Sus scrofa: one gene and its partner. The protein of the gene in region 1 interacts with the protein of each later gene in a pairwise test. Links are inferred from orthologs where the notes say so. Each region holds a gene or a part of one and is shown on either strand. Other genes may lie near its edges. The genes, in order: NUP62 and KRT20.

Region 1 (16,568 bases):
CCTGCAACGGTCCCAGTCCCGCTGGCTCTGCCGTCTGCCTCCTTGAGGACGTTTTAAAGCCCACACACAGATCATCCGAGACCATCTCCCCGTCACCTCTGTCAAGTCCCTTTTTGCCGAGTGAGGTCGCATGTTCACAAGTTACAGGATTGGGGTATGGACATGTCTAGGGCTGTTCTTCTGTCCACACACCACACCCCTCCCCCCATATCCCCCTTAATCTTTCCATTCCTCTGTTCCAAGGCTGAGGTCCCCCCGTATTCATCCCCAGCAAACGCCCCTGCTCTTGCTATCTGGAGGTGGGGGTGGGCGTGAGTCCCGGGACTTTGCTCTGGCTGCTCCCTCTGGTCTCAGATGCTCTTCCCCTGGGCTGTCTTGTTTAATGCCCACACCCTGCACCGGCGCCCCCACTGCCCCTGCCCCACTCCGTCTTTTCTCCTTGACGCTGAGCCTCTTCTAACACGTAATTTCTCTGTGACGTCTTTTCCTGCCTCTCTCCCCTGTGGGGATGTGAGAGCTGGGGCTCGTTGGTCCCATCGGTGATAAAAAGATGCACAAAAATACCTGTTGTGGGAGTTCCCTGGTAGCTCAGTGGGTTAAGGATCAAGTGCTATCATTGTTGTGGTGTGAGTTTGATCCCTGGCCTGAGAACTTGCTCTTGCTTGGGCATGGACAAAAAAGACCCCCAAAACCTGTTGTATGACTGACCATTGTACTGCAGAGAATTGGGCCTATGTGACCACCCCGCCTTGTGGGGACAGGCCTTTTTTCCTCTCTGTTGTCATCACTACGCACCGGGCAGGGCTGAGTAATTGCTGGATTGAATAAAGTAGATAAAGTTGGGTTTGGAGCGGCACAAGAACTGCAGACAGGGCTGAGGTTGGTGGACTCGTGAGGCTCGAGGTGACAGTGGAGAACCTGGGTCCTCAAAGCCAGGGACAGGAGTTCCCGTCGTGGCTCAGTGGTTAGCAAATCGAACTAGTATCCATGAGGCCTTGGGTTCGATCCCTGGCCTTGCTTAGTGGAGTGGGTTAAGGATCCGGCGTTGCCGTGAACCGTGGTGTAGGTTTCAGACACGACTCGGATCTGGCGTGGCTGTGGCTGTGGCTGGCAGGTGCAGCTTCAGTTCGACCCCTAGCCTGGGAACTTCCGTATGCTGCAGGTGTGGCCCTAAAAAGACCAAAAAAAAAAGGCCAGGGACACGGTGTGTGTCTATAGGTGGGAATCCCAGACGCCCCCCTGGGCTGCGAAGGCAGCTGGAGGTGGTTTGAAAAACAAGGGCAAGTGCATGGCTGCCTGCTCTGCCGGTAACTCCCTCAGCGCCCTCAGGCAGCCACTTCTCCCTCCGGGCCTCATCCCCTGTGGCCGACGGAGCACACCCTCAGCTTTTTCCAGGAAGAGCACCGCCTGCCCCGCTTTTGTACCCCCCCCCCCCCCCCCGCCAGCACCGCCAGCTCCTCTGTGGGGAAGCTCACCGCTTTGGTAAAAGTGGACGAGCCCTCACGGAGGGCTTCCTCCTCTCCCCCCAGTTCACAGTGGTGTGCCTGTGTTTAGCCACCTTTGTGAGAAACTCTGGAAGTTCTGGTTGGTTAACCAGGACAGGCCCTGCAGAACCATCAGTTTGTCTCATTTCATTGCAGATGTAGACATTTCCTGACCTGGGGCTGTCTTCGCTGTCCCTCGAGTCCTGGCTCAGGTCTTGGGCTCAGGGCCTGGACCGTGTCCCAGCCTCCACCCCTCCAGCCTATCCCCCACACACAGATCTGGCCATGTTAGGCCTTCCCAGAAGCTTCCTTAAAGTTTCTCCACGGCACCCTCAGGATAAAGTCTGACCGTGATTGTGGCATCTCTGGCTCTGCCAGCGTCTCTCATCATGTCACGTGGCAGCATACAGGCATGTCAGGCATCCCTGAGACCACCCTCAGGTTCCATGATTTGCTAGGACTCACAGCTCAGCAGAGTTGTGGTTTATTACAGCAGAAAACAAAAAGATTGAAATCAGCAAAGGTAAAAGGGACACAGGGCAGAGTCCAGGAGACACGAGGTCACAGCTTCCGGTCGTCCTCTCCCAGTGGGGTCACACAGCACATGCGCAGAATGTTGCCCACCAAGGAAGCCTTGCCATCCAGGCTCCGAGCACCTGTCACTGACCTTTGTTACTCAGTCCCCAGCCCCCCACAGATCATGCTGATACCCTGAGACACCCGCCCCCTTAAAGACGTGCTGTTAGGCAGGATGCTCCAAGGACTTAAGGTTCCCTCCCAGGAGCTGGCAGGGGCCAGTCGTTCTTTGGGATGTGCGGGGTTCGGACCACCTGGGCCTGCCTGTCAGCCCTTCCCTGCTCCCCCTCAAGCCGGGCCTCCTCCCCATTTCCAGGCGGAGGCCAGGAGTTCAGTAACCTCCCTGGACCTCACTCCCCTCGTTTGTCAGATGGACCTGTTTTCGGGCACAAGTGAGCAGGGGCCCGCAGTGTTCCGGGCTGGGCCAGGGCGCCCTCACCATCGTTCGTGGGTCCCTGGCATCCGAGCTGTTGGAAATGGATGACCGAACCGTTAAACCAGGCAGGCCCCCACAGAAGATTGTTTTCCTTGTGGTTTCTTAATGGTATAAAAAGCAAAGAACTTTCTATAAATGCTCTTCTGAAAACTTGTAGCTGCAGCTTATTAATAATAGCGAAAGTTCTCTCGGGTGAGGTCTTGAGAACTGAGACGCGGAGTTGTAGCCATTCTGGCTGCTTCTACTAACAGCGGACCCGGCTTGAGGGGCAGGGGTGGGGTGGGGCGTCTCCAGCCAGGAGGGGTCTGGCGCAGGGCCAGGTGCCTGTGGTCTTCAGAGTGGCGGCCACCACCTTTTTCTGAGGCCCACAGAAGGGCTTTGCAGAGAGGCCAAGGCCGGGTTCCCGTCCCCGGAGAGACGGAAGTTGGTGATATGAGTGCCCGTGCGCGTCTGGAGTGTGGGTCCTGGAGGTGCCGGCCTGGAGGGCGCCAGTGGAGATCTGGCCGAGACCAGCAGGCTGGGGTGGTCCGGGCTCCTCTCCCCAGAAGCACGGGCACAAGGCCAGAGCTCTGCTAGGAAGGCAGAGGGAAGGGCAGCTACGCAGGCAGGTTTCCTCTGCCTCTGGCTGGGAGAGGGTTCCCTGTGGATCCCGAGAGAAAGGAAGAACCAGGCTGGGAGAGGGAGCAGGACCTGTGGGCACCTTCTCTGGGCCAGGCCCGCGGCCCCTCAGTCGAAACCTCGGGTGATTCTCCCGGGTGCGAGGGGCTGTCCTCATCACAGGCAGGGAAGCAGAGACGGAGCAGGGGCAGCCACCTGCCCCGGGACCCACAGCTAGTGAGCGGCAGGAGCAGAGTTCAAGCCCGGGTCTTTCCTTTATATCTGGAGACCAATTTCGTGCCTGCAAACGGAGCCACAGTGCCGCTGTCTTAAGATGAAGGGAGAATAAGCACACGAGGGTGGGGGCAAAGTGGGCTGCCGCTGGCTGTGCCCCTGGAGCAGCACTGTTGGCCCTGTGACCTGCTTGATGGAGCAGAAGTAGAGTGGGTTTGCAGGGCAAAGGCAGGGGTCCAGGGACCCACTGTGGGTGGTATCGCAGGTGACTTGGTCAGAGCCCCTCCCCTTGCACCTGTGTGCCGGGGCCATCACCCCGACCTCATCACAGGGCGGTTGTGAGGAGGGGTCCATAGCTCAGTGCTGGGCACACAGCTATCGGGCCAGGGTGGGTGACCTAAAAACCACCTTGGTCTTGACACTGGAGTGGGCACTTCTCATGCAGCCCAAGGCACCCTGAGCAGTGACAGTGACCATGAGTTCGTGTTTAATTTGAGGTCAGCCACGACCCCCGGGTCTTTTCATGAGAACTTCATAGTTGGGTTCCCAGCCCCTCCTGGGCTTCCTTCTTTGCTCACCACTTCCAGAGGCTGCCCAGAGGGACAGTGCTGCGCGTCCCAGCATGAGGTGCCAGTGGTCAGAGCACTGGCACTCCCCTGACCTTGGCCAAGCTGCAGCTGAATCTCAGAGCCCTAGGGTGTCGGGAGGCCTCCTCTCTCATCCCCAGGCACTTTCTACTCCCCTGCTATATTTGCTTGGCTGCTCTCCTGGGTGACCACAGACTTGGCAGCAGAAACACTACAGATCATTCTCTTTCAGATGAGATAAGATCAGTCTAACAGTCTCACTGGGCTGAAATCAGGTGTCAAAGGGATGGTTCCTTCTGGAGACTCCAGGGGAGATTCCGGTACCTTGCCTTTTCCAGGTTTTAGAGGCCGCCTGCACTCACCGACTCTTCTCTCATCGAATCTCTCTCTGCCTCCATTTTATAAGGACACCCATGGTGACATTTAGGGCCCACCATTTAATCCAGGATAATTGCCTCATTTCAAGATCCTTAATTTAATCACACCTGAACATTCCTTCTGCCACACACTGTGGTGTAGTACAGGTTCCAGGGAGTGGGACACGGGCATCCTTGGAGGCCCACGTCTTTGGCACAGTCTTATATCCATGTGCCAGCTTCCCCCGCTGCCTTTGGCCCAACCCGTGGTGTCTGGTCCTTCCCCATGCCCGAGTCACCTTTGGGGCAAGACGAGGTCTGATTGAGAGCCAGCCTTGGGGAGGCTTGTTTAATTCAGTAACTCTATCTGTCCCACTTGAACTGTGATTTTTAGAACCTGACTGCATGGAGTTCCCTTCAGGGTGCAGCAGAAATGAATCCAGCTAATATTACCACGGGATGCGGGTTCTGATCCCTGGCCTCGCTCAGTGGGTCAGGGATCTGGTGTGACCGTGAGCTGTGGTGTAGGCTGGCAGCTTTAGCTCTGATTTGACCCCTAGCCTGGGAACTTCCATATGCTGCGGTGTGCCCCCCCCCCCCAAAAAAAGAAGGAACCTGGCTGCACAAGTTTCCTGGTTCTGCAGAGTAAATTTATACCACGTGATTTAGTTATTTTTGAAAACCTTGCTTATCATTACGTTTCTTTATTGTACAGACAGAACAAGCGTTTGGAATGACTGCCAGTTACCAAGCAGCTGAGCCACGTGTAGTCCCACACCCCAGAGACAGCCCCTGACCACATCTCGATATATTTCCTTCTGACCTGCTTTGCTCTGAGTTGTTCTCTTTTTCCACAGCCGAGATTGCGCTGCACTGCTAAATTTGCCTGCCGCGTCCCTTTGTTGTCATTTCTCGCATTTCTTGTGCATAGTTGAGGCCACATCAGTGGGTGTGATGCAGATCTTCCCTTGTGGCTGATACCTCACTGGTCCCCTCAGTGGGTGCAGAGAAATGCCCTGCCTGTCGTCTGGTGCCTGTGCTGGGCAAGGAGATGCGTGGGTGGGGCCAGCAGGGTCCCGAGAAGACCCTCGGCCTGGGTCCGCTCCTGGCAGGTCACCGCAGCCCTCTGAGCCCGTTTCCTCATCTTGGACACGGGGACCTGACCTTTGCCTCCAGACCGCGGTGGGAGGGCGCATCCACGAGCTGCCTGCCTGACGTCAGTGCTAGCGTGGGCCCCTTTGCCTAAAAACATCTCTGTCTAGCTCACCCTCTGATCCTTTCCTCTCCAAATCACCTTGGACATTCCAGCTAACACAAGGCTCTGCTCAGGGCTTTTCAGTTAGAGATTATGGAAATCCCGTCAGCTTAAACCCAACGGGGGCTGGGCTGGCCCACAGAGAGCTTCTGCTAAGATGGGGTGAGGCTGGTGAGCAGGACTGGATTCTTCCACAGTCGCTCTCTCCCCATCTCCTCTCTGTGCTCTCTCGGGTGTCGGCCTCTTTCTCCCACTGCCAGCGGCTGAGAAGATGGGGGTGCCCTGCAGGTGCAGGAGGCCGCCTCTCCCGCACCTGGAGAGAAACCTCTCAACTGCCTGGCATCTCAATGTCCTCTTGACCTGGGGTGCCAAGCGCTCTGATTGAGCACCCAGGTCTCCTGCTCGCCCCTGAATTAGAAGGAGGGTGGGGGTACACACCTACCCTCCTAAACAGTGTGGGTGCACAAGGGGGGGCCTTGGGCACCTGAGGCCTTGCTACACGGCTTTGCTTCCCAGGGCCATCTCTCTGTGAGATCCAGAATCAGTCTACATCCCGCCCGCTTGCAGTCAGCAGAGGGCTCTGCAGCGTGGGTCCCAAAGGCATTTGTGTGTCTCTGGTCCCGCTTGCCAGAGCGCCTCCAGTCTGACCGCCTCCTTGGGCTGCAGTCGGTTGGGCTTCCCCCCCTCACAGCGGGACTCCAGCTGACCAGGCTGTGCTGGGCCCAAGTCCATCCTGCTCCTTGCGCCTAATCCGCCGGGGTAGCGGCTGTGTGTCCCGGTCCTTCCTTCCTAGCTGAGCAGGGCCTGCTTAGGTTTGGTGGCGGGAAGAGCAAGGGTGGCCGCTTATCGTAATTATCGAGCCCTGCCACCCTGCAGATGGGCTCCATCGTGCCACTGAGGCTGCCTTTCCAAAACTGCCATCTGATCGTGTCACTTCCTCTGCTTTAACCATCTTTCCAAGGTTGCAGACACCGGTGGAATTGCTTTGGGAGCCGGAGTAGCTGCTGCCACCAGAGTCTGGAGCCATGAGCAGGTTTAATTTTGGAGGCACGGGGGCCCCCACAGGCGGGTTTACATTCGGCGCTGCAAAGACAGCAACGACCACACCTGCTGCGTTTTCTTTCTCTACATCTGGCACCGGAGGGTTTAATTTTGGGACCCCTTCCCAGCCGGCCTCGAGCACCCCTTCCACCAGCCTGTTCTCACTCACCACCCAGGCTTCAGCGACAGCGCAGGCCCCGGGATTCAGTTTTGGAACCACAACTCCTGCCGCAGGAGGAACTGGGTTTTCCTTAGGCCTGAGCACCCCAAAGCTAAACCTGAGCAGCAGCGCAGCTGCCACCCCAGCCCCAGCACAGCCCAGCGGCTTCGGGCTGGGCGGCAGCACGCTCTCCAATGCCGTCTCGAGCGCCGTCACATCCGCCCAGGGCTCCACGCCCAGCGGCTTTGTGTTTGGCTCCACCACCACCTCTGCTGCTCCGTCTACCACGCCCGGGGGCTTCTCGTTCACAAGTGGAAGCACGTCCCAGACTGGGACCTCCAGCTTCAACATCGGCTCCGTGGGGAGTTCGGCCCAACCCACAGCCCTTCCCGGGCTGCCCTTCACTCCGGCCACTCCAGTAGCCACTGGGGCGGGGGCCACACAGCCGGCTGCCCCCACACCCACCACGCCGCCGCCGCCGCCGCCACCACCACCACCACCACCACCACCACCACCACCACCACCACTGGGCCCACGCTCTTTGCCTCACTGGCAACCACTCCAGCCTCATCTACCACCTCGGGGCTCTCCCTTTGTGCCCCAGCAACCACAGCCGGAACGCCCGGAACAGGGATGCTGGGCTTTAGCCTGAAGCCCCCCGGAGCAGCTTCCACCACCTCTGCAGCCACGACCACCACCGCCGCCACCGCCACCACCACAGGCTTGGCCTTGAATCTCAAACCACTGGCACCAGCTGCCATCCCCAGCAACACAGCGGCCTCCGGGACCGCTGCAGCCGGCCCCAGTGCGGCCACCGGCGTATCCGCCAACCCCGCGATGACCTACGCCCAACTGGAGAGTCTGATCAACAAGTGGAGCCTGGAGCTGGAGGACCAGGAGCGGCACTTCCTGCAGCAGGCCACGCAGGTCAACGCCTGGGACCGCACGCTGATCGAGAACGGGGAGAAGATCACCACCCTCCACCGCGAGGTCGAGAAGGTGAAGCTGGACCAGAAGAGGCTGGACCAGGAGCTCGACTTCATCCTGTCTCAGCAGAAGGAGCTGGAGGACCTGCTGAGCCCGCTGGAGGAGTCGGTCAAGGAGCAGAGCGGGACAGTGTACCTGCAGCACGCGGATGAGGAGCGAGAGAAGACCTACAAGCTGGCCGAGAACATCGACGCGCAGCTCAAGCGCATGGCCCAGGACCTTAAGGACATCATTGAGCACCTGAACACGTCGGGGGGCCCCGCCGACACCAGCGACCCACTGCAGCAGATCTGCAAGATCCTCAATGCGCACATGGACTCCCTGCAGTGGATCGACCAGAACTCGGCCCTGCTGCAGAGGAAGGTGGAGGAGGTGACCAAGGTGTGCGAGGGCCGGCGCAAGGAGCAGGAGCGCAGCCTCCGCATCACCTTCGACTAAGCCCAGGGCGTCACCCGGCAGCGCGCATGTGCCGTGTGGAACGTGCAGTCACTGTCTTGGTTCTGGTTGCAACGAAATACTTGGTTGGTTGGTTGCTTGCTTCTTTCTTTCTTTCCTTCAGATAGCTGTGCTGTTGAGAGCACTGTCCCATGGTTTGACTTTTCGTCTTAGGGGGTAGCAAGTATTCTTAGCACTCCGATCCAGGCAGCAGCTTAGTAGGTGTGGCGTCTGTGTGTTCTGGACCCTCTCCGCCTGCCGCCCCCCCCCCACCTCCAAGTGGTGGAGAAGCGCTGAGCCACCTCAGAAGCCCGGCTCCCAGCCAGGGGGCCCAGCACACAGTTGTGGGTGCAGGGAGAAAAGACTGAGGTGCAGGAGTCTCCGTCCTGGAGGAGCCAGCAATCGAGGGTAAATGTAGTCAGTACAAAGAAGTGACTTAGGAATGGAACGGACAGTGGGAGGTAGAATTTCAAAGGCGGAAAGATAGGTCTGCTGAGGGGCTGGAATGAAGATGTCTCATCTTGCCTGGCTGACCCCTCCTCCAGGAAGCCCTCTCTGCCACCCCGAGCCTGAGTCAGGTGGCCGTCCTGTGAGCCCCACAACGCGGAGCTAGTGAGTACCCAGTTCACGACCCCTTTGGTAACGCTCGCCATGTTGCCTTGTGCCCCTGGCTTGCTTCTCTGCCTCACCCTTAGCTTGCGCGTCCCTGTGGGCAGGGACTATTTCTTGTTGCCTTTGTGTCCTCAGTGCAATCCTTGTCACACTTGTCAATTGTATTAACAGTGGACCTGAAACCTGGCATAAAACATTAGTCCACAGAGTGCCCGTTGAAAGGGCCAGGGTGCCAGAGGTGGCCCCTGACTTGGCTCTGAACCTCTCAACGCCAGAGCAGACCCGGTCAGTTCGTGAGATGCACGGTGTTCGGAAGACAGGAGCCAGACCACCTGCATCCCAGGTGGCTTTTGTATTTGTCTCTACACTCTTTTGCATCCTCTGAAATACCCATGGCTGTATGTTGCTTTTCTTCTAAAGAAAATAAAAGTTACCGTGGAACCCGAAATGCTGCTGTTAATGTTGGCACCTTAGAAGGAGAGGGTTGAAAACAGAGCAGGTTCAAGTTCAAGTCAGATGCCATTTGTCTGAAACTTAGAAGCAAGCAGAACCAGAGCATTGGCGAGGCATGCCCACGCCTAGGCAGAGATGTTCACACGTCTGGTGCTGATGCAAGAGAGGAGCACACGGGGGCACCAGTTGTAGCTGGGTTGTATCTTCCGGCATACAAGCGTCAGGTCGCCATCCCCAAGGCGTGTCATTGGCAGCATTCCTGCCTTTGTTACCTCAGGCTGCCTGGGGGGTTCTGGCCATGCCTCAACCGTGGGAAACAGGTAAAGCTGGGGGGGCAGCCGCCTTGTCTCGAGTGATTTCCAGACACCAGCCTGACGCGCTGCCTCGGCCCCTGGCCCCCGCAGCTGCGAGTGACGCCGAGCACCTGGATCTGGTTCCTGGTGCGGAGCAGAAAATATGCCCAGTTTTTCCCCTCCAAAGGCTCCGCCTCCTGCCACAGTGGCCCCTTGTGCAGTCTGTGAGCCATGACCTCATCCAGGACCCATATCTGACCCCTCGCCTGAGGGGAGGAGAAATGGGGATGCCTCGAAAATCAGAAGTAGTATTTTTACCTACATGTATTCACTCTACACCCATCTTTGGAGCACCTGCTACATACCAAGTCCTGATCTGGTATTGGGGTTTTGAAGATGAAACCCGATTTACCTATGAGGTCCTTGGCAGGGGCCACACAATCATGGTAAGAAAAAAAAAATGATTGAACTTGCATTTGCCATGTGTATAATGTACCTATTATTTGGCATATTAAAATTAATGAAGCTTAATGGCTTTCTGATAGTTGTATTTTTTTGGTAAAAACAAAATGAAGTTGGAGTTCCCTTGTAGCACGTTGAGTTAAGGATCCGGCATTGTCGATGCTGCAACTCAGGTTGCCACTGTGCCTTGGGTGGTTAGGTCCCTGGCCCAGGAACTTCTGCATTCCTGGGAGGTCAGGGAGGGGGGCCCCAAGATTGCAACAGGCTCAGCAGCTGGCTGGATGCTGACTTCATTGTAATTGCAGTTTCCCTTTCCAGGAATAAAACAGCTAATGTTTCTTTGCCAGTCCAGACACATAGCCTCTCCTTAAGTTCCTCTTCATTAATTAACATGAAGACAACAAACGTGGTGACTAAAGTTGGAGTCAAAGGCTTTTAAAGGTGAATCTCCTCAGTAAACTGTTTCCTACATTTCTTCTCCCTCTTCAGGGAAGAGAGTGGCCGTTGGATTTACGATGATGGCCTTGCTTTCATCTCAAAGACACCCTCAAACTCCCTCCCTCATGGCCCAGCCCCTTTCCCCAGGTTGCTGCCCTGGCCTCCTAGGCACTACAGGGCATCAAGGGTCAGATGTTTGAAACAGCCAGCATTTCCGGAGCGAGCGCAACCTTGATCTCCAAAGGGAAGTGGTTGAAACAGATGATTCCCTAGTGGGAGCACTGAGGTGCTGGTAAATGTCAGCGCCCCCAGGGGGAGAGGAGCCCTCATGGGCCACATGTGCCAATTCCCATGGTGTAAATTCTCCCACCAGGACTGATTTCAAGCCACCCGGTGACTGAACACGAACTTGGGAAATTGCCATCCCACGTAGGTAAAATTAATTCACCAACGTGTGTGTGCGTGCACGTGTGCATATATTTAATAGTAACAATGTAATCAAATAATTGATGAGATTTGAGTATTTGTTTTTAATAAAAGTAATCATAGGAGTTCCTGTCACGGCTCAGTGGAAACAAATCTGACTAGTATCCATGAGGACACAGATTCAATCCCTGGCCTCACTCAGTGGGTTAAGGATCCAGTGTTGCCGTGCGCTGTGGTGTAGGTGGCAGACCTAGCTTGGATCCTGTGTTACTGTGGCTGTGGTATAGGCTGGCAGCTGCCGCTGATTCAACCCCTAGCCTAGGAACCTCCATATGCCACAGATGCGGCCCTGAAAAAACAAATTAAAAAATAAGTAAAATAAAATTAATTACAAATATTGCAATTTTTAAGTAACAGCTGGCAAAGCAAAACCAAAAAGAGGTCTGAAAATTAAAGTCAGCTCTTGTGAAATAGTATGAGCCACCTTCGGCACACCACTGCTCCCAAGGTTTGCAGTCAACCTCAAAATTGCCTGGGTGCTTTAACCTCTGTCCCCAGGAGTTCCTATTGTAGTTCAGCAGGTTAAGGACCCCATGTCTCTTTGAGGATCCAAGTTTGATCACCAGCCTTGCTCAGTGAGGTAAGGATCCAGTGCTGCCGTGGCTGTAGCATAGGCCAGCAGCTGTAGTTCCAATTCAACCCCTGCCCGAGGAACGTGCAGGATGGCCCTTAAAAAGGGGGGAGGGGGGAGTCCCTGTCTTAGCTCAGTGGTTAATAAACCTGACGAGTATCCAGGAGGATGAGGGTTCAATTTCTGGCCTTGCTCAGTGGGTTAAGGATCTGCCGTTGCCGTGAACTGTAGAGGTCACAGATGCAGCTTTGATCTGGCGTGTCTGTGGCTGTGGCACAGGCCAGCAGCTGCAGCTCCCAATTCCACCCCTAGCCTGGGAACCTCTATATGCCTCAGGTCCGGCCCTAAAGAGACAAAAAAAGGTGGGGGGGGGGAACCTTCTCAGGAACAAAGTCCTTCACTCTCAGAAGTCAGGTCTGCCCATGAATACTAGCCAGCCCCCAGCCAGACTTAACTGTCCAGAGCTGCCCCTGGGCCTGTCCCATAACCCTCACACACCTTGGCACTGATGACTTGCCATACCAGTGACTCCTGGGCACCTGCCCACGCCTCAACTCCAAACACCATCCTGCCTCAGCCCCATGACTTCCAGAGATTTCCTCAAGGCAGAGACCAGACCTGCTGTGCTGCTATGCTCGGTTCAGGCCTAGCCTGGGGCAGGGCAGTCCCATCAGACCCCTCCTGGTCCTAAGGACAGAGACTCCCAGATCCACTGAACTGAAAATGGCACTTCTTTACAGTGTTACTTAGATGCAATGCAGACTCTTTGTTGATTCAAACTGTTTTAAAAAAGGTTTTGAGGAGTTCCCATCGTGGCACAGTGGTTAATGGATCCGACTAGGAACGGTGAATTTGCAGGTTCAATCCTTGGCCTTGCTCAGTGGGTTAAGGATCCGGTGTTGCCATGAGCTGTGGTGTAGGTCACAGACATGGCTTGGATCCTGCGTTGCTGTGGCTCTGGCGTAGGCTGGCAGCTGTAGCTCCGATTAGACCCCTAGCCTGGGAACCTCCATATGCCGTAGGAGCAGCCCTAGAAAAGGCAAAAAAAAAAAAAAAAAAGGTTTTGAGGAGTTCCCATCATAGCGCAGCGGAAACAGATCCAACTAGGAACCATGAGGTTGCAGGTTTGATCCCTGGCCTCACTCAGTGGGTTAAGGATCCGGCACTGCCATGAGCTGTGGTGTAGGTCACAGACACGGCTCAGATCCCAAGTTACTGTGGCTCTGGCGTGGGCCGGCAGCTGCAGCTCCAATTAGAGCACTAGCCTGGGAACCTCCATATGTCTTGGGTGCAGCCCTAAAAAGCACACGCCCGCACACAAAGTTTTGAGACAGTGAAATGCAAGCATTGACTTACCGCCAAGTTTAAATGTGATAACGGTATAGAGTTTTTGAAACAGCAAAATAAGTTATTTTAGAGCAGAGGTTGGCAAATTATGGCCCCACTTCCTATTTTGTTAAGTAAAGTTTTGTTGGAACACAGCCGGTTCATTTACATGCTGTGACCTCTTCGAGGGCAGGGTTGAGTAGGCAAGGTGGAGACCATGTGGCCCACAAAGCCTCATATTTATAGAGAAAGTTTGCCAACCTCTTCTTACAGAAATATCCTTGCGTATTTTACCTACAAAATAATAATCTGTCTAGGGTTTGCTTTGAAATAACCCAATGGGGAGTTCCCGTTGTGGCTTGGCAGGTTAAGAACCCCACATAGTGTCTGTGAGGATGCGGGTAGGTTGAGGAGCTGGCATTGCTGCAAGCTGCAGTATAGGTCGGAGATGACCACTCAGATCCAGTGTCGCCATGGCTGTGGCGCAGGCCGGCAGCTGCAGCTCGGATTTGATCCCTACCTAGCCTGGGACCTTCCATGTGCCAAGGGTGCAGCCCTAAAACAAACTCTGGGAGGAGTTCTCTTGCAGTGCATCAGGTTAAGGGTCTGGCGTTGTCCCTATAGCAGCTCCGGTCACTGCTGTAGTGCAGGTTCAGTCCCTGGCCTGGGAACTTCCATATGTCACAGGCGCAGCAAAAAAAAAAAAAAAAATTAATTAAATTAAAACCCAGTGGGGAAGGTAGAAAATGTAAATGAAACGAGATGGGCTATGAGGCGATGAATGCACCTGGGTTCATCATCCTAGTTGCTCTGTTTTTATATGTGTTTGAAATTTCCATAATAAAAAGCTCCTGAGAAGGGAGGGCCTCCCCTCCACAGCCTCTCTGCTTCTCTGACCCCACACCAGGACCCTGGCATCTCTGGTCTAACAAGGGAATCAGGACAGAGCCACCACCACTCAGCCCGGTTTCACACACGCCCAACGATGACTTCGGTCCCAGGCTAACCAGCAAGGCCATGGGCGCTGAGAGAGCCTGCCAGAGCCAGCCATGCAGTGAGTGTCCCTGTCGGGGCCCTGGGGTTCTAGGAGCTGGGGCGGGGGCCCTGTCTAGGGGTCAGGCCAGAGATCTGGGGCCTCAAGGAGGCCTGCCCTCTGTTCTCTACACCCCTCCCCAACCAGATCTGCACCCCTGACTGCTGTCTGGGGCCCTGGGTGTCCCACGGTAGGCCCTGCCCTCCTCTGAGACTCGGTCAACATTTTAATTCTGACCAATCAGGGTTTCTGGGTGACAGAGAAAAGAACCTATGGGAGGCACTAGCCCCATCTCTCGCCCATCTATCTCAGCGGCCACCATCACTCTCAGCTGTCCAGTGGGCCACAGCCCCATGGGAGCCAGGCTGGGTCTCCGGCTGCTCCGGGAGTGACCGAACCCCATTAGACCTGTCGTTGTGGTTCTAGAAGCAAGCCAAATAAGGTGGGGTCTTCTCCCTGAAGACAGTTTTTTATCTGAAAGGACTGACACTGTTTTTGAGAAACTCCATCATAAAAAAAGACAATCCCGGAGTTCCTGTTGTGGCGAAGAGGAAGTGAATCCGACTAGGAACCATGAGGTTGTGGGTTTGATCCCCGGCCTCGATCAGTGAGTTAAGGATCAGGCGTTGCCATGAGCTGTGATGTTGGTCGCAGACGCATCTTGGATCCCATGTTGCTGTGGCTCTGGCTTAGGCCAGCAGCTGTAGCCCCAATTTGACCCATAGCCTGGGAACCTCCATATGTCTCCAGTGTGGCCTTAAAAAGCAAAAAAAAAAAGGCAAACCTAACCCCAAATCAGCTGAGGCAGACAGTTGATTCGGTGGGAAGGCCCAGGTCTTCCCCACCATCTGCCCCTACCCTCGATTTCCTCCCCCAGGCTTAGGAAACCTGGCCTAATCCACTGCTCTTTCTTCTGACCCCGATCCGCACCCTAAATTCAACCCCTAACATCACTCTCCTCGATGCCGTCAGGAATGACTGGAAGTTCCAGTTATTTGCTCCAAAGCCGTCCCAAATGACTGCCTCCTAACCCCAAAACAACCTCTGCCATCCGGCCTCCCTGCATTTCTCTTCCTGCCAATTTTCCTGGACCATATCTGGCCATTCTTGGGCATCCCGCCCAGCACGAACCTAACCCTGGCCCAGTGCTTTTCAGCCCGGGCAATTCCCCTGCCGCCCCGGGAGCCGTTGGCAATATCCGGAGACATTACTTGGGCCTAGAGGGGCGAGCACTGCTGGCACGTGATGGGTCAAGGCTGGTGACGCCCCTTGACATCCTGCCCACACAGGACGGTCTCCACAGAAGTGGTCCCGCCTGCCCGGCACCGAGACGGGGCACCCCCACCTCTGGTCCTCGAGCCAGAGCGCCTGGCTGATCACCACGTGCTCGTTAGGAACACAGGCCTGGGAGTTCTCTTGTGGTGAAGCTAGTTAAGGATCCGGTGGTGTCACTGCAGCGGCTCGGGTCACTGCTGTGGCGCAGGTTCGATCCCTGGTGCGGGAACTTTCACATGCCACCGGTGCAGCCAAAACAAAACCAAAACAGCCCTGGAACCAGGCTGTGCCACTTCTTAGCGGGTGCCTGATCTGGGCCTCAGTTTTCTCCACTATAAAATGAGGACTGCTCAGCCCCCTGTCACTTGTCACTGGAGTAAATGAAGCAGAACCCAGGAAGTATCCAGGCCACGGTGGTAGTGGTACCCACAGTCATTAGAGCGGCAGCCAGGGGACTGGCTTCTTGAATGGGTTCTCCTGGGTGAGGCCTGCATTCCTTCCACTGACCCCAGAGCCAGCGGGACTGGGAGCAATGACCCTGTGTGGGAGGTCAACCCAGGGACCCTGGGAGGGTCCTCCCAGCTGCTCTGGGGACTCCCTGCCCAGACACACCCCAAGAGCCTCCTGGCTCTGCTGCCTCCACCCCTTTCTGCCTCCATGTTATTCCTGCTTCCCTCCGCTGTGTGGGACTTTGCCGCGAGGCTGTAGAGCAGAGGGGCCTCTGGGCAGGGGATGGGGGGCGTTGGGCTCAGCTGGACCCCCAGCTCCACCGTTTCCCCCAACCAGAAGATACATAAGGTCATGACAAGGTGGCACACCTGTCCTCACTGTCATCATGGATGAAGCAGGTGGGATCTGGGGCAAGTCCTGGGATCCTTCCCTGCATGCAGCCCCTCGCCCCCCCCCACCACCTCTGAGTGCCAGATTCCTCCTCTGTCCCCTGCAGCGTTGCGAGGTCCACAGTGAGTGTAGAGCTTCTAGCACAGGCCACCCCAGGGAGGGGACAGTCCCTCACACTGCCACTTTTTGCTGACTCTGTCCCTTGCCTTTCTCTAGTCCTCCAGGCTCTGTCCAGCTCACTGATTTTGCTTCCGTCTTAGTCACTGCCTCCCACTCCCTCACATCAGATGTTTTCTGACTCTTGTGTGCACCCCTCCATCAAACCACATCCCTGTTTGATTTACTGTTGGGGTTTTTCCATTGGTCGCTGCAGAGGACCTGCCGCCCTCCAACTTTCCTTCCCCCCCGCCCAAGAACAATCCCCAAAATAGCCTCTCTGCACCCACCCACTTCAGGGGACCTGGCATGTGTCCCCTTGGCTAAAGCCCCAAAGCTGTGAGACCCCCCGCTTGAAGCCGGGTCATCTTGTTCTCACTGCCCACCGCCCGCCCTCAGGAGATAAGCACCCACAGACAGCAGCAGGGGGCATCGGCCAAAGGCTGGGAGAGAGGCAGAGGTTTCTCCGAGGTCC
Region 2 (16,268 bases), on another chromosome or scaffold:
TCTTGATTTAAATAATGCTTCTACCTACCTTGGTGGATGAAACCCTTAGGTGAAACTAACTCACTGCAAAACTTGTATAATTTAAACACTACGCTGTTCCAGTGACTTCAAACAACCTCCTTCTCCCCCATTAAGCAACAAAAAAAATTACTTTTGTGAATACACATAGATAAAAAGAACACAGTTCCTCTGTTTCTAACATGTTCCTCGCTGCAGATTTTAGCTGAGACATCTGTTTACATGGTAATTTACAGCTCTGTAATGAACAGCAAGGTCTGCTTATTTCATGTTCAGTCATTGGTGGTGAACTCTCAGGGAATTGACTGCTGCATATTTGAACAGATAAAAATATAAGCAAGAATTTCCCTGCACCATATACACCATAAAGCTCATGAAATAGGTTTAACTTTGTCTCATAATTTCTTGACTATCATAATATAATTGAAGCAAAGCCTAATACAAAATAGTATTTTAAAGTATATTTTTAATAAGACGTAACAAATTGTGAGGACATATTTATATAGTTACGTTGTTTTTTAACCAATTTATGCATTTTATATTTTACTTATTTTCAGAGGGTGTATTATTTTTGTTATTCTTGCCAGTTAAGTTATTCTTTTTATTATGCTATATAAAATATTTAATGGTATATAAGGCTTTCTTCTTTATACACTTTAGTTGCATCATATAACAATTTTAATATAATGCTAATTTTTAAAGAAAAATTGAAATGTAATAGATAAAACTAAGTAGTAAAGATGAACGCCATAAAAATGGGATAAAGTATAGAATAAATTTCCTATTTGTCTCAGCATATTTTCCATTCCACTTCTCCAGTGGAAGTCACTTAACCTGTTTCTTAAGATCCATGATATAATAATCTGTGTGAATGTAACTGTGTTTAAATGTATGTATTTTATTCTGTAAAAAATAAAAATAAAATTTCAGAACTGAAAAAAAAATAAAAATAAAAAAATAAAAGTAAAGTATATCTTTGGAGTTCCCGTTGTGGCTCAGGGGTTAACAAATCTGACTGGCATCCATGAGGAGGCAGGTTCGATCCCTGGCCTTGTTCAGTGGGTTAAAGATCCCGTGTTGCTGTGAGCTGTGGTGTAGGTCACAGACGTGGCTCAGATCCCTTGTTGCTGTGGCTGTGGTGTTGGCCAGCAGCTGTAGCTCCAATTCAACCCCTAGCCTGGGAACTTCCATATGCCACAGGTGCAGCCCTAAAAAGCAAAATAAATATTTCAGAGGAGGTACGACTTTCTTTGGCCAGGGTGTTTGCATGAAGTGGAGCAAATCAATAAATTCCATTCGTCAGATCCCCACTGGTGAGATCACACCCACAGCTCACCTTGAGTCTGGAGGTCAACACACCCGAGGTGGTTTCCAGTCCAATTTCGGAGGCTGGGTGTAGCCCCAAGGCACTGCTCACACTCCCTCCTGTACTTGGAATTGCTCTGCTCGTGCCTTGAGTATGGAGACCCAGGGGAATATCTGGCTTCTGTGGAAGCTTCTGCAGGCGAAATCCATTGGAGATTCTAGCTGTAGGATGGATGGAGCAGAGTCTGTCAGATGGCAGGGGTTCAAGCTCCTTCACTCACTAGGTCGGATGCCGAGTACCATGATATATATTCTAAGTTTCTAGGGACGGAGACCTAAAGCCAGGCGGTGACTGAGAAATTTAAATGCATTATGTGATCTTAGGACATTAGAATTAAGGGGGAAAAAAACTTCAAAATCATCCATCCATTACTTACCTAAGTTCATTTAATTCACTTCCCCAAATTACATCTCCAAACGTATAAATGTTTTGTTTTAAATATGCAAGGTTTTGTGTTTGTATGAAGTATTTAAAGTCTTATAAAATATGATCTTAAATGGGATAAACTTAGCCAAAAAAAAAGCATAAACCAGAGATTCCAAAGAATGATTTATCAATACATATAAACCATTGTTCTTAGGCAAATGAAAACCACAATGAAGAGACGCTGCTTTGAGAAAGATGCCCAGTGTTCTCCTTACTTGCTGCAGGTAATAAATCATTCCTTCTCCCGGTGGCGGGGGGGGGGGGGGAAGAATGAAATAATGAAATAGCACCTCACACCTATTAGAATGGCTATCATCAAAAAGATGGGATAACAGAGTTCCCGCTGTGGCACAGTGGGTTAATGATCCAGACTGTCTCTTTGGCAGCTTGGATTTGATTCGTGGCCCAGGACCTTCCATATGCCATGCAAGCAGCCGAAAGAGAAAAAAATAACTAATAAATAAAAATAAAAAGATGGGATAATAGGATGTAAAGAGAACACTGGTGTACTATTGGTGGGAATGTAAACTGGTACAGCAATTACGGAAAGCAATACAGAGGTCCCTCAAAAAATTAAAAATGGAACAACACCATGATCCAGCAATTCCACTTCCAGGTATATTTCCAAAGGAGATGAAATCACTGTCTCAGAGACAACTGCCCTTCCATGTTCATGGCAGCATTATTCATAAATAGCTAAGATATGGAAACAACCTACATGTCCATCAACGGATGAACAGATAAAGAATATATATACATATATATACACACACACACAGATATTCTGCCACCTGCAGCAACAGAGAGACCTCGAGAGCATTATGCTAAGCGAAAGAGCCAAGGCAGAGAAAGGCAAATACTGCATAGCATCACTTTTATGTGGAATCTTAAATTGAAGAAGAAAAAAAAAGTCAAACTCATAGAAAAGAGAGTAGAAAAGTGGTTGCCAGGGGCTGGGTGTGAGGGATATGGAGAGAGGTTGGTAAAAGGGTACAAACTTTCAGCTATAAGATGAGTAAGTTCTGAAGATCTCATTTCAAATGTGGTGTCTACAAAAAAAAAAAAAAAAACAAAGAAAGAAAGAAAAAGAAAAGCAGTTCTTATTGTGGTGCAGTGGAAATGAATCCGATGAAGCCTTGCTCAGTGGGTTAAGGATCCAGTGTTGCCATGAGCTGTAGGTTGAAGACATGGCTCGGATCCCATGTTGCTGTGGCTGTGGCGTAGGCCGGCAGCTGTAGCTCCAACTAGACCCCTAGCCTGGGAACCTCCATATGCCACAGGTGTGACCCTAAAAAAACAAACAAACAAACAAAAAAAAACATGGTGACTAGAGCTGACAACACGGTATTGTATAATTGAAATGTACTGAGAGTTTTAAAATGTACTGAATTTTTAAAAAAATTTTAAGCATTGCTTTTTATCACCAGTGTGAGTTACTATTATATAACCACATCTGTCTTTTCAGGTAAATTATTCATAGAGACTGCAAATACTCTTTATGTGTATATTAGGATGGAAAATAAAAAGGGCCAAAGCAGGTGCAGAGGATAAAAGAATACACCTTCCTGTTTCCTTTTGTCTCCCCTGTTTAAAAAAGAAATCACCTCTGAGTAAAGCCTCTTAGAAAGGCCTCTAGTGGTAATTTCTGGAACAGAATTAAACAGACTGCTGCACAAAGGAGAGGAAAAAAAAAGCAAGGCAAGGTGGACTGCGGTGTCGATCGATCGTAAAGGGAGATGTCAGCACAGGAGGCGTTTCTTTCCTGTGAACTCTATAAAAGGTCAGCTCATCCAGGACCAAGAGACAGACTCTGCTCCATCCATCCTGAAGCTACAGCTGCTCCCTCCTAGAATCCCCAATGGATTTCAATCAGAAAAGCTTCCGCAGAACCCTGAGCTCTTCCTCCCAGGGCCCTGCACTCAGCATAAGCAGCTCCATATACAGGAAGGGGGGCACCCAGTACCTCGGAGCCGCACCCAGCGTGTATGGGGGTGCTGGAGGCCATGGCACCCGCATCTCAACTTCTAGACGCGTGGTGAGCTATGGGAGCGACCAAGCTGAAGGGAACCTGTGGGTTGGCAATGAGAAGATGACCATGAAGAACCTCAATGACCGCCTCGCAAGCTACCTAGAAAAAGTGCGGTCCCTGGAGCAGTCCAACTCCAAATTTGAACTGCAGATCAAGCAGTGGTATGAAAGCAACACGCCTGGCATCAGTCGGGACCACAGCGCGTATCTCCAACAAATCCAAGATCTTCGAAATCAGGTGAGGCGTGATGTCTGGGCTTTCCACTCCATTGGTCAGCAGCATGATATGTATGTCAAGAAGGCAAATACGTTAGGTGGGTCCAAACGCTATAAAGCAAATTAGGTTTAAATGTTGCGTCGCTCAAAATGGTATATATCCCATTATCTACCCTGCGTACTGCAGTACCTGACTACATGATAGGATGACTGTAAACCATTCATTTAAAAAATCATCACCATCCAATTACACATAAAATATTAAAATTTTATCCTCCAGTCTTACAATCTGAATTTTGGTCACACATAGTCTACCAAGTCTGGGCTAAGCAGGTAGTAAACATATTTTTCTGGGAAGAGCTAACAATTTTTTATGTAGCAATAAACCTTTCATAGTTTTTCACCTAATTTCTATCAACTTTTAAAACCCCGGTCAATTGAGAGATTTTCCTCCTTTCATTTATGTAAATGTTGTAATTCAAGCAGTAGAATATTCGTTCAGAGATTTCAATGATAAAGTGATTCAGGGTGGAAATGGGGGCAGGGGCCAAGGTCTTAATGATACCTGGATTTTAAAATGTCTTTTAAATGTTTAATAATCTGATCATCCCCCAGCAGAAACCAGTTCTACAGTCATAAAGTATTTTATTGCCCGCAATTCAAATTTATTGCAATCATACCTGCTCCCATATCATACAAGAAAAGGTGGAGTTCTCCGTTTTATCAATTTTATGGAATAAAAGACTTTGCTCCTAGTTGAAGATCTCAAATATGATACAGAACACTTACTCTGTTTGCTAACCTTATCTAATCCCTCCCTTTCGTTTTCATTTCTATTTTAACACTCCTATTTCTTGAGAGCAAGGGCCGCTTGCCAACATGTCTCTTTCTCTTATGTTGTGTTAGACATCAGCGCAATTCGATTCAGATTCATAAGAAGTTATTTCGGGGTTTCAGGAGGATGGGGATGGGAGACAAAGGTGTTTAAATTGTCCCTTCCACCAACATGTCATTCTCCTTGGGCTCCCGCTAGAAAACGTTCAAAATCAGCCAGCCATTCGCCCTACCCCCTCATGATTCACGTGTCTGAAGTTACCTTGGACATCCCAAACACACAGGCAAATGTTCCATTTAGGTGGGCAGACCCAGGATGTGAAGGAAGGCAGTGCTTTTCGGGACTAGGGCTATTGAAAGAGACCTGCCATTGTAGCATCTTTTACAAGCAGATTTCTGGTCCACTTTAGAGGACTCAGTATCAGGTAACTGCTCCTTAAGATCAGGGGTTTATCCATCCTGACAGCCCCAGTGCCTAGTCGAAACCCTACCACATAGCAAGGGTGCATTCATTTGGCCAATATTTAGTAGATATTAACTAGGAGCTGGGCACTGAGGAATATGACGGTGGAGATGATGTGATGTGGGGGAAATGGGCATGCCAAGGATGGATAAATCCTGGCACTGAGGGAAGTGTAGGGCAATGAAGGCGCAGGCAGGTTATCCAGCGCTGTTTTGAGGACAGACCGCCTTGAAGCAATGATGCCTAAGCTAAGACGTGGAGGAAGAGGAGTTCACCAAGCGAGAGGGGCTAAGAGGACTACTCTAAGCAGGAACAACATCAAAGGCAAGGCACACAATAAAGTCTGATGGCTCGAGTTGAAATACACCATCCGTTTGTAAAATCGTAAGCTGGCCAAACCCTTGGGACTCAAGTTGCATTTTATGAGTCTTTGTGTGAGAAAGACCCATCGCAATATGCCGCTTTTCTGTTTTCATGTGAAAAGCCTTTGAGGAGTTCCCGTCGTGGCGCAGTGGTTAACGAATCCGACTAGGAACCATGAGGTTGCGGGTTCGACCCCTGGCCTTGCTCAGTGGGTTAACGATCCGGCGTTGCCGTGAGCTGTGGTGTCAGTTGCAGACGCGGCTCGGATCCCGCGTTGCTGTGGCTCTGGCGTAGGCTGGTGGCTACAGCTCTGATTCAACCCCTAGCCTGGGAACCTCCATATGCCGCAGGAGCGGCCCAAGAAATAGCAACAATAACAACAACAACAACAACAAAAGACAAAGGACAAAAAAAAAAAAAAAGAAAAGCCTTTGAGATGAATATCATCTTTGATATGAGAGGGGTGGTAGCCGAGGATAAACTCAATCACGTTAGGCTCTTGTCCAGTTGAAAATATCGTTCTCTCTTGCATGTTTTCCAGATTAGAGACGCTCAGCTGCAAAATGCTCGGTGTGTTCTGCAAATCGATAATGCCAAGCTGGCTGCGGAGGACTTCCGGCTCAAGTAGGTTCTCAGACACCATGGTAACACCTCCTGGAAAGGAGAGGCTTTCGGTGGTCCTTTATCACACTTTCCACACTATTGCTGCCAAAGGAGCTACTGCGGATTGGTTTCAGGACCTTGGGGTTTTAAGGGTGTTAGAAGCTATGTGGTCTAGTCCAGCATCAGGACCGGACTTCTCTCTCCCACAGTCCTACCATCTGGTGCCCAACCTCGGAATGAACACCTCCAGTAAATACTACTGTTCAACTTGGTCAGCCCTGGTTGCCAGAACCTTCTTTTTTAATAACCTGGCATCTACCTCTTCACCCACTGAACTTAATTCTGCCCTTTGGAGTAAGAGCAAGGCACTTTACAACTTCCCTTCTGCCTACGTGCACTTCTATTATCAAAAAAGAGCTATTTATCTACACTTGGTGATTCTCCAAGTGAGTCATCCACGTTCCTTCCAGTGCCTGCAAGGGTTTGATCCAAGTTCTGGGATGATTCTTGATGCTTTCTAGTTTGCCAGTGTTTTACGGTAAGGTCTGACCAACCAAAGAACTAGGTTAAATAAAGCAGTGAAAACTGTGTTCCCTTTCTCGCAGTCACTACATGTGATCAGAGCTGCTCCTCATACCTGCTTCTATACTGGGGCTTCCTCATTCTGAATTTGTAGGAGGCATTGGCACTAAAGAGTCTTTTGAGGTTAAGAAGGATAACATTTTAACACCGGTACAAGGGATCAAAAAGAAAGAAACAAAACAGAGCTGAAAATTAAAGCAGTAAAAGCTCATTAACTCCATTCGGCCTCTGGGTATCTCATTGCATTGCCATGTTTTAAAGTTTACTTTAATAAAAATGAGAATATGTGATTGCAGAAGAGAATGCATGATCTTTGTATGTATCGGTTTACCAAGTAACAAAAACAAGTTGATGGTGTGTATTCATTAAGTAAATCTAACTAACCATTATGTAACACCAATAATGAGAGCACTTTGTTAATACGGTAATTAGAGTGAGGTATCTTTTGATTAAATATATATATATATATATATAAAATCTAGAGTTTAGGAACTTTTTTTTTTTTTTTTTTTTGGTCTTTTTGCTATTTCTAGGGCCGCTCCCGCGGCATATGGAGGTTCCCAGGCCAGGGGTTGAATCAGAGCTGTTGCCACCGGCCTACACCAGAGCCACAGCAACACAGGATCCGAGCCGCATCTGCAACCCACACCACAGCTCACAGCAACACGGGATCCTTAACCCACTGAGCAAGGCCAGGGGTCGAACCCACAACCTCATGGTTCCTAGTCGGATTCGTTAACCACTGTGCCACGACGGGAACTCCGAGTTTAGGAACTTTTAAAAGTAATTTCAGGTTGCTTTTTTTTAACCAATCACTCCAAATCACAGAGACTATATTATGAAGCAAATGATCTGATTCCAAGGCTCTCGAGAATATGTTCAGACGGTATAAAGGGAGCCACAACAATGTACTGAACTTGATCTCGTGTTATGCCACATAACACTCTGTGTGGAGACACTGATATACACAGTGTGATGTGGTATACAAAGTCGACCTCGCTCCTGTGAGATTCTCTTCTACAATGGCTTCAGAAGGACTCAATTACCTCTCCATACTAATTACTTCACAGATATGAGACTGAGCGGGGGATCCGCCTAGCCGTGGAGGCTGACCTCCAAGGCCTGCACAATGTCTTTGATGACCTAACCCTAACGAAGACAGACCTGGAGATTCAGATTGAAGAGCTGAATAAAGACCTGGCTCTCCTCCAAAAGGAACATGAGGAGGTGAGAAAAGATTCAGAGGTGGTATTGGAAATAATATCATGGCTCTAATAATAATAAAGAGGGGGAGGAGGGGGAAGAGGAAGACCTGGTGATGCTGGTGACAGTGAGGAAGAGGACGAGAATGACGGGAGCCCTGACGCCTTTTCTGAAGGCTGCTGTCCGGGTTAAATGACTTAGAGCGGTATCTGGACCACAGTAAGCCCTATCTAAGTTGTTCTTTCCTATTACGCATCCCCAATGAAAGAAGCCGGAAGACGACTATGTCTCTTGGGCACAGCCTCACCTGAGAATGTGCTTCAGACGCTAATTGAGCAGGACTTTCACTCTCGTAGGAAGTGCAGAGTCTACGCGCTCATCTGGGCAATAACGTAAATGTAGAGGTGGATGCTGCTCCGTCCCTGAACCTCAGCGCCATCATGAGTGAGATGAGGCAGAAATACGAAGCCATGGCCCAGGAGAACCTTCAGAAGGCCAAAGAACAGTTTCAGTTGCAGGTAAGAGAATAATCCTAAAGGGTAAGCAAATATGTAGATGCCGTCCTCCAAAAGGAAGTAACGCCCATCTCCCCCCTCCTTCCCTCCCTTCTTCCCTTCCTCTCCCCACCCCCCACCCTTCCTTCCTTTCTTTTTTTTTCTTCTCTTCCTTACTATTATTTTTTTTTTTCATTTTTGGCACTTCAGATTGAAACTCTGCAACAAGAAGTCACAGTGAGCACGGAAGAGTTAAAAGGAGCCAAAGATGAAGTAAAGAATCACAGACGCACCTACCAGAGCCTGGAGATAGAACTCCAGTCCCATCTCAGTACGGTAAAGCACAGCTAACCTTCCACTCTCAGTGCGGTGTGGGGCCCTAAGTATTAGGAACCCTGAAAATGCAAAGACCTAGAAGAAATAACCACTCCCCTTGCAGAGCAGGTAGGAGAACGGACCAAACAACTGATGTCTAATTTAAAAAAAAATGACAAATGTTTATATGAATAAAAAAATAAAAAAAAAAAAAAAAAAAAAAAACAGAGAGAAGTCAAGGCTAAGGGCAAGTCACTGCCAGGGTCTGCAGGGAAAAAAGTCCAGCTGGAAGACGCCACTGGGAAAGTGGCATGTAAAGTAGACCCGAAAAGGTGAGACGGATTTTTAATAGGAGGGCAGGGGTCACAACATTCCAGGCTAAGCACCTCAGTCAGCTCATGATGAATTATGCTATCGTAACAACCCCCAAATCACAGTGGCTTCCAGCGACAACACTACATGCATCACGGGGTCTCCACAGCTTTGCTCCGTGATATTTCCACTCCGGGCTAAGTCTGACGGAGTAGGCACGACCTGGAGCATGCCAGTGTTGGGCCAGAAAGCAAAGGGCAGTGGCCCGACCACATGACAGCTCTTAAAGCTATCTCTGCAGAAAAGGCATGTGTCCGGTTCACTTGCATTTCATTAGCCAGAGTTGCAAGGCCAATCCTCCAAAAGGAAAGGCGCCCCAAATCACAGGGAGGGGACGCAAATACCGAGAACACCAATACACTGGACCAGAGTAAGAGGACAGTGAGTGCAAAACTGAAAACAAACAAACAAAAAAGCCCAAGAGCCGGTGATCCCAGCCTAGATGGAAAGAGCAGGAGATCAAGCTGGCAATACGCAGGATGCCCACAATGACTAGCTGCAGAAATTCTTCTCAAAAGAAATTAAAATCGAGCCACTTCTTACATTAGGTCCTCAACGAAAAAACGTCCACTTTTTTCTTGTGCTCCTAGAAAGCAGCTTTGGAGCATACGCTGGAGGAAACCAAAGCTCGTTATGGTGCCTATCTGGCCAAACTCCAGACACAGATAAACTCCCTGGAAGACCAGCTGGTGCAGATTCGGACCGATACAGAACACCAGATCAATGAGTATAATATTCTCCTTGACATAAAGACCCGGCTTGAGCAGGAAATCGCTACCTACCGTCGCCTTCTAGAAGGAGAGGACTACAAGTAAGGCTCTCGGAATCAAGGGGTGTGTGGCAGTGGCTATACATGTCCATCCGTTAAACACCATCATTCATTCCCCAGCGCCAATGCCATCCCTGGCACAAAAGCAGTTACACACACCCCACTGCCGCCACCATCACCACCAAAACAGAAATATACTAACAAGTACCCACACCCTCCAAGCACCAAATACATCCTTCCTACTTGAGGTCATATCATAGGACTGAGGCAGAGGAGGATTAGGCAAGCGATACCCATTGTATTCATTTTTACGATTAAGACATCATTGAAAGCACTGTAACTTTTTAGAGTTCTCACTTCGAGGTCATGAGTTAAACAGGCCTAGGTTTGCAAATCATCAGTGTTGCAGCAACAACTTGTCTGTCATCAAACACATCTGACGAAAGCAACAGAGGAACCCAAGATGTAAATGCCCATTGTAATTCTGTCATTTGAATTACAAAAGCTTCTGGTACATGTTATACAGGCCAGTTTTGAAGCTACTTATATTTAGAATTAAAAAGGAAGGCGCTCAGGTTTGAAGCAACCAGTACTGTAACAGTGAGGGGGAGGGGGTTGGAAGAGCAGGACAACACACACTACTCAGACTTTATTTTGAAACAAAAAAGGCAAAAGAGAGTTTCGTTTTCAAAATGTCAATAACACTTTTTGCCTGTTTCTTTTTCTTAACAAAAACAGAACTACAGAGTATCAGTTAAGCACCCTGGAGGAGAAAGGTAAGTGTTCCCATCTTCACACAGTTCCTATAAGACTGAATTCTCACTCAGTAGTTTCCCCCTTTTTTCTTGCCACTGGTGAAAAGTAAAGCGATCATTCTCAAGTGAAGAGCTATTACCCAATGGATTCTGAAAATCAAGCACCTCACATCAAGAACCCTCCAAAGGGGAGACTTCTCATGTGCCTTACGACAGACAGAGTGATTTTCTTGGCCCATGCTTTACAGAATCCTGAGATGCTGAGAAGGAAAAATAAGATAAAAAAATGTGCTTTTTAGGAGGTCTCTAATAGTGTAGCGGATTAAGGATCTGGCGTTGTCACTGCAGCAGCTTGGTCACTGCGGTGGCGCAGGTTCAGTCCTTGGCGTGGGAACTTCTACATGCCCTGGGCACGGCCAAAAAAAAAAAAAAAAAGGGCATTTTACTTAATTCAGTACTGTAAATTTCTTGAAAGGTGGGAGAGTAGAGAATTGTAAATTTGGGAGGAGTGGCACTTTTTCTGCAGTTATTTGTAAAATGGAGTTAAGATGATTTGAGAAAGAGAATGGGCGAGATTTTTCTCTGCAGGAAGGAAATGCATACAAAATAATAATTTAAAGATGACGATTATAAATGAGCAGAGTCATGTGTCTGAATTAACATTTTATATTTAAATCTAAATTCAGATATAAAGAAAACCAGAAAGATTAAGACGGTTGTGCAAGAAGTAGTGGACGGCAAGGTTGTGTCATCTGAAGTCAAAGAAGTGGAAGAAAGTATATAAATGGCTGTCAGAAGATGCTGCTGCTGAGGTTTGGAAGAAATATAAGAAAGCGGCATCAGAAAGCACCATTAATGCTTCATAGTTATTGGGGGGGGGGAGCCCATTTACCAGTCTCTGTAATTGAATATAAATGTTTTAGTCACAGAAGCTGCAAATTGCCTGCAAAAATGAAATCCAGTGAGCACTGGGCTATTTAAAATATCATTACTGCCCGTTTGATCACAAAACGCATTAACCACAAGCTATAGATGACCTAACATCAATTCCTAATGTTCCTGGAAATTACAGCCCATTTCAATTACACTAAACCTTACAGAGCAGAGGAGTCTATGCAAAGAGCAAATGAATGTCTCTCTAATTCCTCCTGTTTCTGAATTGCAAAAATCTCGTTTCAGGATTCCTGAGTTAATTTCTTGGTTAATTTCATTGAATTTTCAATCACGATATAATTCTGCTGGCTTTAACTCATATTTGCATTGTCTCCGCTGCCTTTAAAACTCAACTCGGCTCTGAATAATTTGAGAGCCCATTCCAGTCATCAGTGCTGAGCAGAAATCAGAATGAAATATATTATGCTTGAAATAGGAGTCGATTAAAAGCAAAATTAGTGAAACCCTTCGCAAGGCAGAACGCTTCTCCTTTAACTGCATAAATCGCATAAATTGGGTCGGCGGGCACTCTCTTTCTTTACATGGTGAATGTATGTTATGAAATGCTTCTCACTATTTTTTTAGTAACGGCTCTAATGAAATGTAATTCACGCACCATAAAATTCGTCCTTGTAAAGTATGCGATTCAGTGGTCTTTGGTGTGTTCATCAGATTTTGCAACCATCATCACTAACTTTAAAGCATTTTCATCACCCCCCCAAAAAAAGCTCCATTAGCAGTCAGCCCCTATTCTCTCCTCCCACCCCCAGCCCCTAACAACCACTAATCCACTTCCTCTCTCTAATGGATTTACCTAATCTGGACATTTCACGCATATGGAATCACACCATGTGCTCTTTTGTATACAAATGTTGGTAGCAGCATGACTCATAATAGCCCCAAGTGGAAACAGCTCAAATGCCCATCAACTGATGAACGGATAAACAAAATGTGATGTATCCCTACAACAGAATAGTTCTGTGGGAGTTCCCTTGTGGCACAGCAGGTTAAGAATCCAGCATTGTCACTGCAGCGGCCAGAGTCACTGCTATGGAGCAGGTTCGATCCCTGGCCCAGGAAATTCCCCCCGCAGCCAACCCAGAAAAAGGGATGAAGTACTGATACATGCCACCACATGGATGAACCTTAAAAACACGATGCTAAATGAAAGAAACCAGACACAAAAGGTCACATGTTGTATTCTAGGGAGCATTCTAAATTCTAAATTCCATTAAGTTTGCATTTTAGTGAGCAATAACTGCCCTGTAGGTGTTTACAGGAAAAAATTAATTTGCCCTCTTATCATTGCATTCTAATAAATGAATAGCTCAGATTTATTTATTTATTTTGCTTTTTAGGGCTACACCACAGCATATGAAGATTCCCAGGCTAGGGGTCAAATTAGAGCTGTGCAACTTCAGATCCGAGCCGCATCTGTGACCTACACCACAGCTCACGGCAATGCCGGATCCTTAACCCACTGAGCAAGGTCAGGGATCAAACCTGTGTCCTCATGGATGCTAGTCAGATTCATCAACCACTGACCCAGGACAGGAACTCGTAGATTTAAATTTTAATATTTAAGTTTGTAAACAAAGAGGATTTTGAGTGTGATTGCTATACGGAATATAATAATTCACTTAAGAATAGTAATATCTGGGAGTTCCCGTCATGGCGCAGTGGTTAACGAATCCAACTAGGAACCATGAGGTTGCGGGTTCAGTCCCTGCCCTTGCTCAGTGGGTTAATGATCCGGCGTTGCGTGAGCTGTGGTGTAGGTTGCAGACGCGGCTCGGATCCCGCGTTGCTGTGGCTCTGGTGTAGGCCGGTGGCTGCAGCTCCGATTCAACCCCTAGCCTGGGAACCTCCATATGCCGCGGGAGCGGCCCAAGAAATAGCAGCAACAACAACAACAACAACAAAAAGACAAAAAAAAAAAAAAAAAAAACTGTAAGAATAGTAATATCTACCATTCATTGGGCATTTACTATGTGCTAAACAGTATGCCAGCATCTTATATGCATTTCTCATTTAATCTTCACAATTAAATTGATATCTTCTATCCATGAGGATGAGGGTATCAGGTGGAATCATACGAACTTGCCAATAGGTGATCATTTTTGACCTTCAAAAAAAAAGCAATTTCAGAGTTCCCGTCGTGGCTCAGTGGTTAACGAATCCAACTAGGAACCATGAGGTTGCAGGCTCGATCCCTGCCCTTGCTCAGTGGGTTAAGGATCCAGCGTTGCCCTGAGCTGTGGTGTAGGTTGCAGACTTGGCTCAGATCCTGCATTGCTGTGGCTCTGGCGTAGGCCAGCGGCTATAGCTCCAATTGGACCCCTAGCCTGGGAACCTCCATATGCCATGGGTGCGGCCCTAGAAAAGGCAAAAAGACCAAAAAAAAAAAAAAAATCAATTTCAATGTGGTATGACCTTATAGTATCTCCATTTTATATATGAGGGAAAATGAGAACTATTTTAATATTCAAATTGTATTCTAGGAGTTCCCGTCGTGGCACAGCGGAAACAAATCTGACTAGGAACCATGAGATTCAGGTTCGATCCCTGGCCTCACTCAGTGGGTTAACGATCCAGCATTGCTGTGATCTATAGTGTAGGTTGCAGATGTGGCTCGGATCTGGTGTTGCTGTGGCTGTAGTGTAGGCCGGCAGCTGTAGCTCCAATTGGACCCCTAGCCTGGGAACCTCCATATGCCACAGGAATGGCCCTAAAAATAAATAAATAAATAAATAAATAAATAAATTGTATTCTAGTGAGCATTAGATATAGATCACTTTATCACACATTAGAATCATCATCAAGTTGTTACATTGGGAGTTCCCGTCGTGGCGCAGTGGTTAACGAATCCAACTAGGAACCATGAGGTTTTGGGTTCCATCCTTGGCCTTGCTCAGTGGGATAAGGATCCGGCATTGCCATGAGCTGTGCTGTAGGTCGCAGACACGGCTCGGATCCCGCATTGCTGTGGCTCTGGCATAGGCTGGCAGCTACAGCTCTGATTAGACCCCTAGCCTGGGAACCTCCATATGCTGCAGAAGCGGCCCTAGAAAAGGCAAAAAAAAAAAAAAAAAAAAAAAAAAAAAAAAAAAAAAAGATGTTACATTGCTTTTTATGAAACCATCAGTGCAGAGTGGAGCTTTCAAATGCAGAGAACTTCTGTAGGGAAAGCTAAGATGGACAGAAATATTTTTCTTGGGCTTTGGGAATTACTTCTACATAGAGCCATCTAAAAAGAAGAATGACATGAAATGATATAAAATCAAAACCTGGAATTCCCAGTGGGTTAAAGGATCCCAAGTTGCTGCAACTGCTGTGGTGTAGGTCACAGCTGCATCTCGGATTCAGTCCCTGGACTGGGAACTTCCACATGCCATGGGTGCAGCCATAAAATTTCTTAAAATTAAATTAAATTAAAATTAAACTTTGACCAGTGGCACCCTCTGCTCTCACTCTTACTCACTTGGGGGCAGTCTCAGGTACCCAATTATACCCTCAAATAACAATTCTAACTTAAGGCATTGGCTAGTGATTTCTTTCTTTCTTTCTTTCTTTCTTTCTTTCTTTCTTTCTTTCCTTCCTTCCTTCCTTCCTTCCTTCCTTCCTTCCTTCCTTTCTTTCTTTCTTTCTTTCTTTCTTTCTTTCCTTCCTTCCTTCCTTCCTTTCTTTCTTTCTTTCTTTCTTTTTTTCTGTCTTTTTAGGGCTGTACTCCAGGCACACGGAGGGTCGAATTGTAGCCACAGCTGCTGGCCTACACCACAGCCACAGCAACTCGGAATCCCAAGCCATGCCTGTGAGCTACACCACAGCTCATGGCACTGCCGGATCCTTAACCCACTGAGCGAGACCGGGGATCGAACCTGCATCCTCATAGATGCTAGTCAGATTCACTTCTGCTGAACCAAGACAGGAATTTCTAATTTCAATTTTTTAATTTCCCTTCTCTCTCCTAGACTCACTTCCAAAATTCACCTTATCAGGGTCTTGCTTCCTCTTCCTCCTCCTCTCTCTCACCACCTACAAGCCCCCCCTGCCTTTGAGAACCCCCGAGCTCTGAAATCCCGAAATCCTCCTCCAGCGTGACTCCCAGGGTCCTTGTTCATCCTCATCTCAGAACACACGGCATAAAGGTGTCAGTGCTTTAATCACGGAACACTTGCCTCCCTCAAAAGCACGGCATAAAATGTCAGTGACCCAATATTCTTCTACTCACTCATCACTGGATTCGGAAGATGTGGTATATATACACAATGGAATACTACTCAGCCATAAAAAAGGATGACATCATGCCATTTGCAGCAACATGGATGGAACTAGAGAATCTCATACTGAGTGAAATGAGCCAGAAAGACAAAGACAAATACCATATGATATCACTTATAACTGGAATCTAATATCCAGCACAAATGAACATCTCCTCAGAAAAGAAAATCATGGACTTGGAGAAGAGACTTGTGGTTGCCTGATGGGAGGGGGAGGGAGTGGGAGGGATCGGGAGCCTGGGCTTATC

What was found.
Region 2: the proteins of NUP62 (region 1) and KRT20 interact in binary tests that used the Homo sapiens proteins (3 or more experiments, as listed by UniProt). The two-hybrid records come from large-scale screens. The link is inferred for Sus scrofa from reciprocal best matches to the Homo sapiens genes NUP62 and KRT20.

What each region holds. Positions count from the first base shown.
Region 1 is NC_010448.4:54,913,210-54,929,777, reverse strand, and holds the end of NUP62 (nuclear pore glycoprotein p62), read left to right. Parts: intron 1-6,486; 5' UTR 6,487-6,550; coding exon 6,551-7,187; intron 7,188-7,231; coding exon 7,232-8,151; downstream 8,152-16,568. Other genes in the region: IL4I1 (L-amino-acid oxidase), read left to right, coding at 13,807-13,843. UniProt on the Homo sapiens protein: Essential component of the nuclear pore complex. The N-terminal is probably involved in nucleocytoplasmic transport.
Region 2 is NC_010454.4:21,581,201-21,597,468, forward strand, and holds KRT20 (keratin, type I cytoskeletal 20), read left to right. Parts: upstream 1-3,482; 5' UTR 3,483-3,668; coding exon 3,669-4,076; intron 4,077-6,255; coding exon 6,256-6,338; intron 6,339-7,969; coding exon 7,970-8,126; intron 8,127-8,458; coding exon 8,459-8,620; intron 8,621-8,806; coding exon 8,807-8,932; intron 8,933-9,873; coding exon 9,874-10,094; intron 10,095-10,790; coding exon 10,791-10,828; intron 10,829-11,493; coding exon 11,494-11,591; 3' UTR 11,592-12,383; downstream 12,384-16,268. UniProt on the Homo sapiens protein: Plays a significant role in maintaining keratin filament organization in intestinal epithelia. When phosphorylated, plays a role in the secretion of mucin in the small intestine.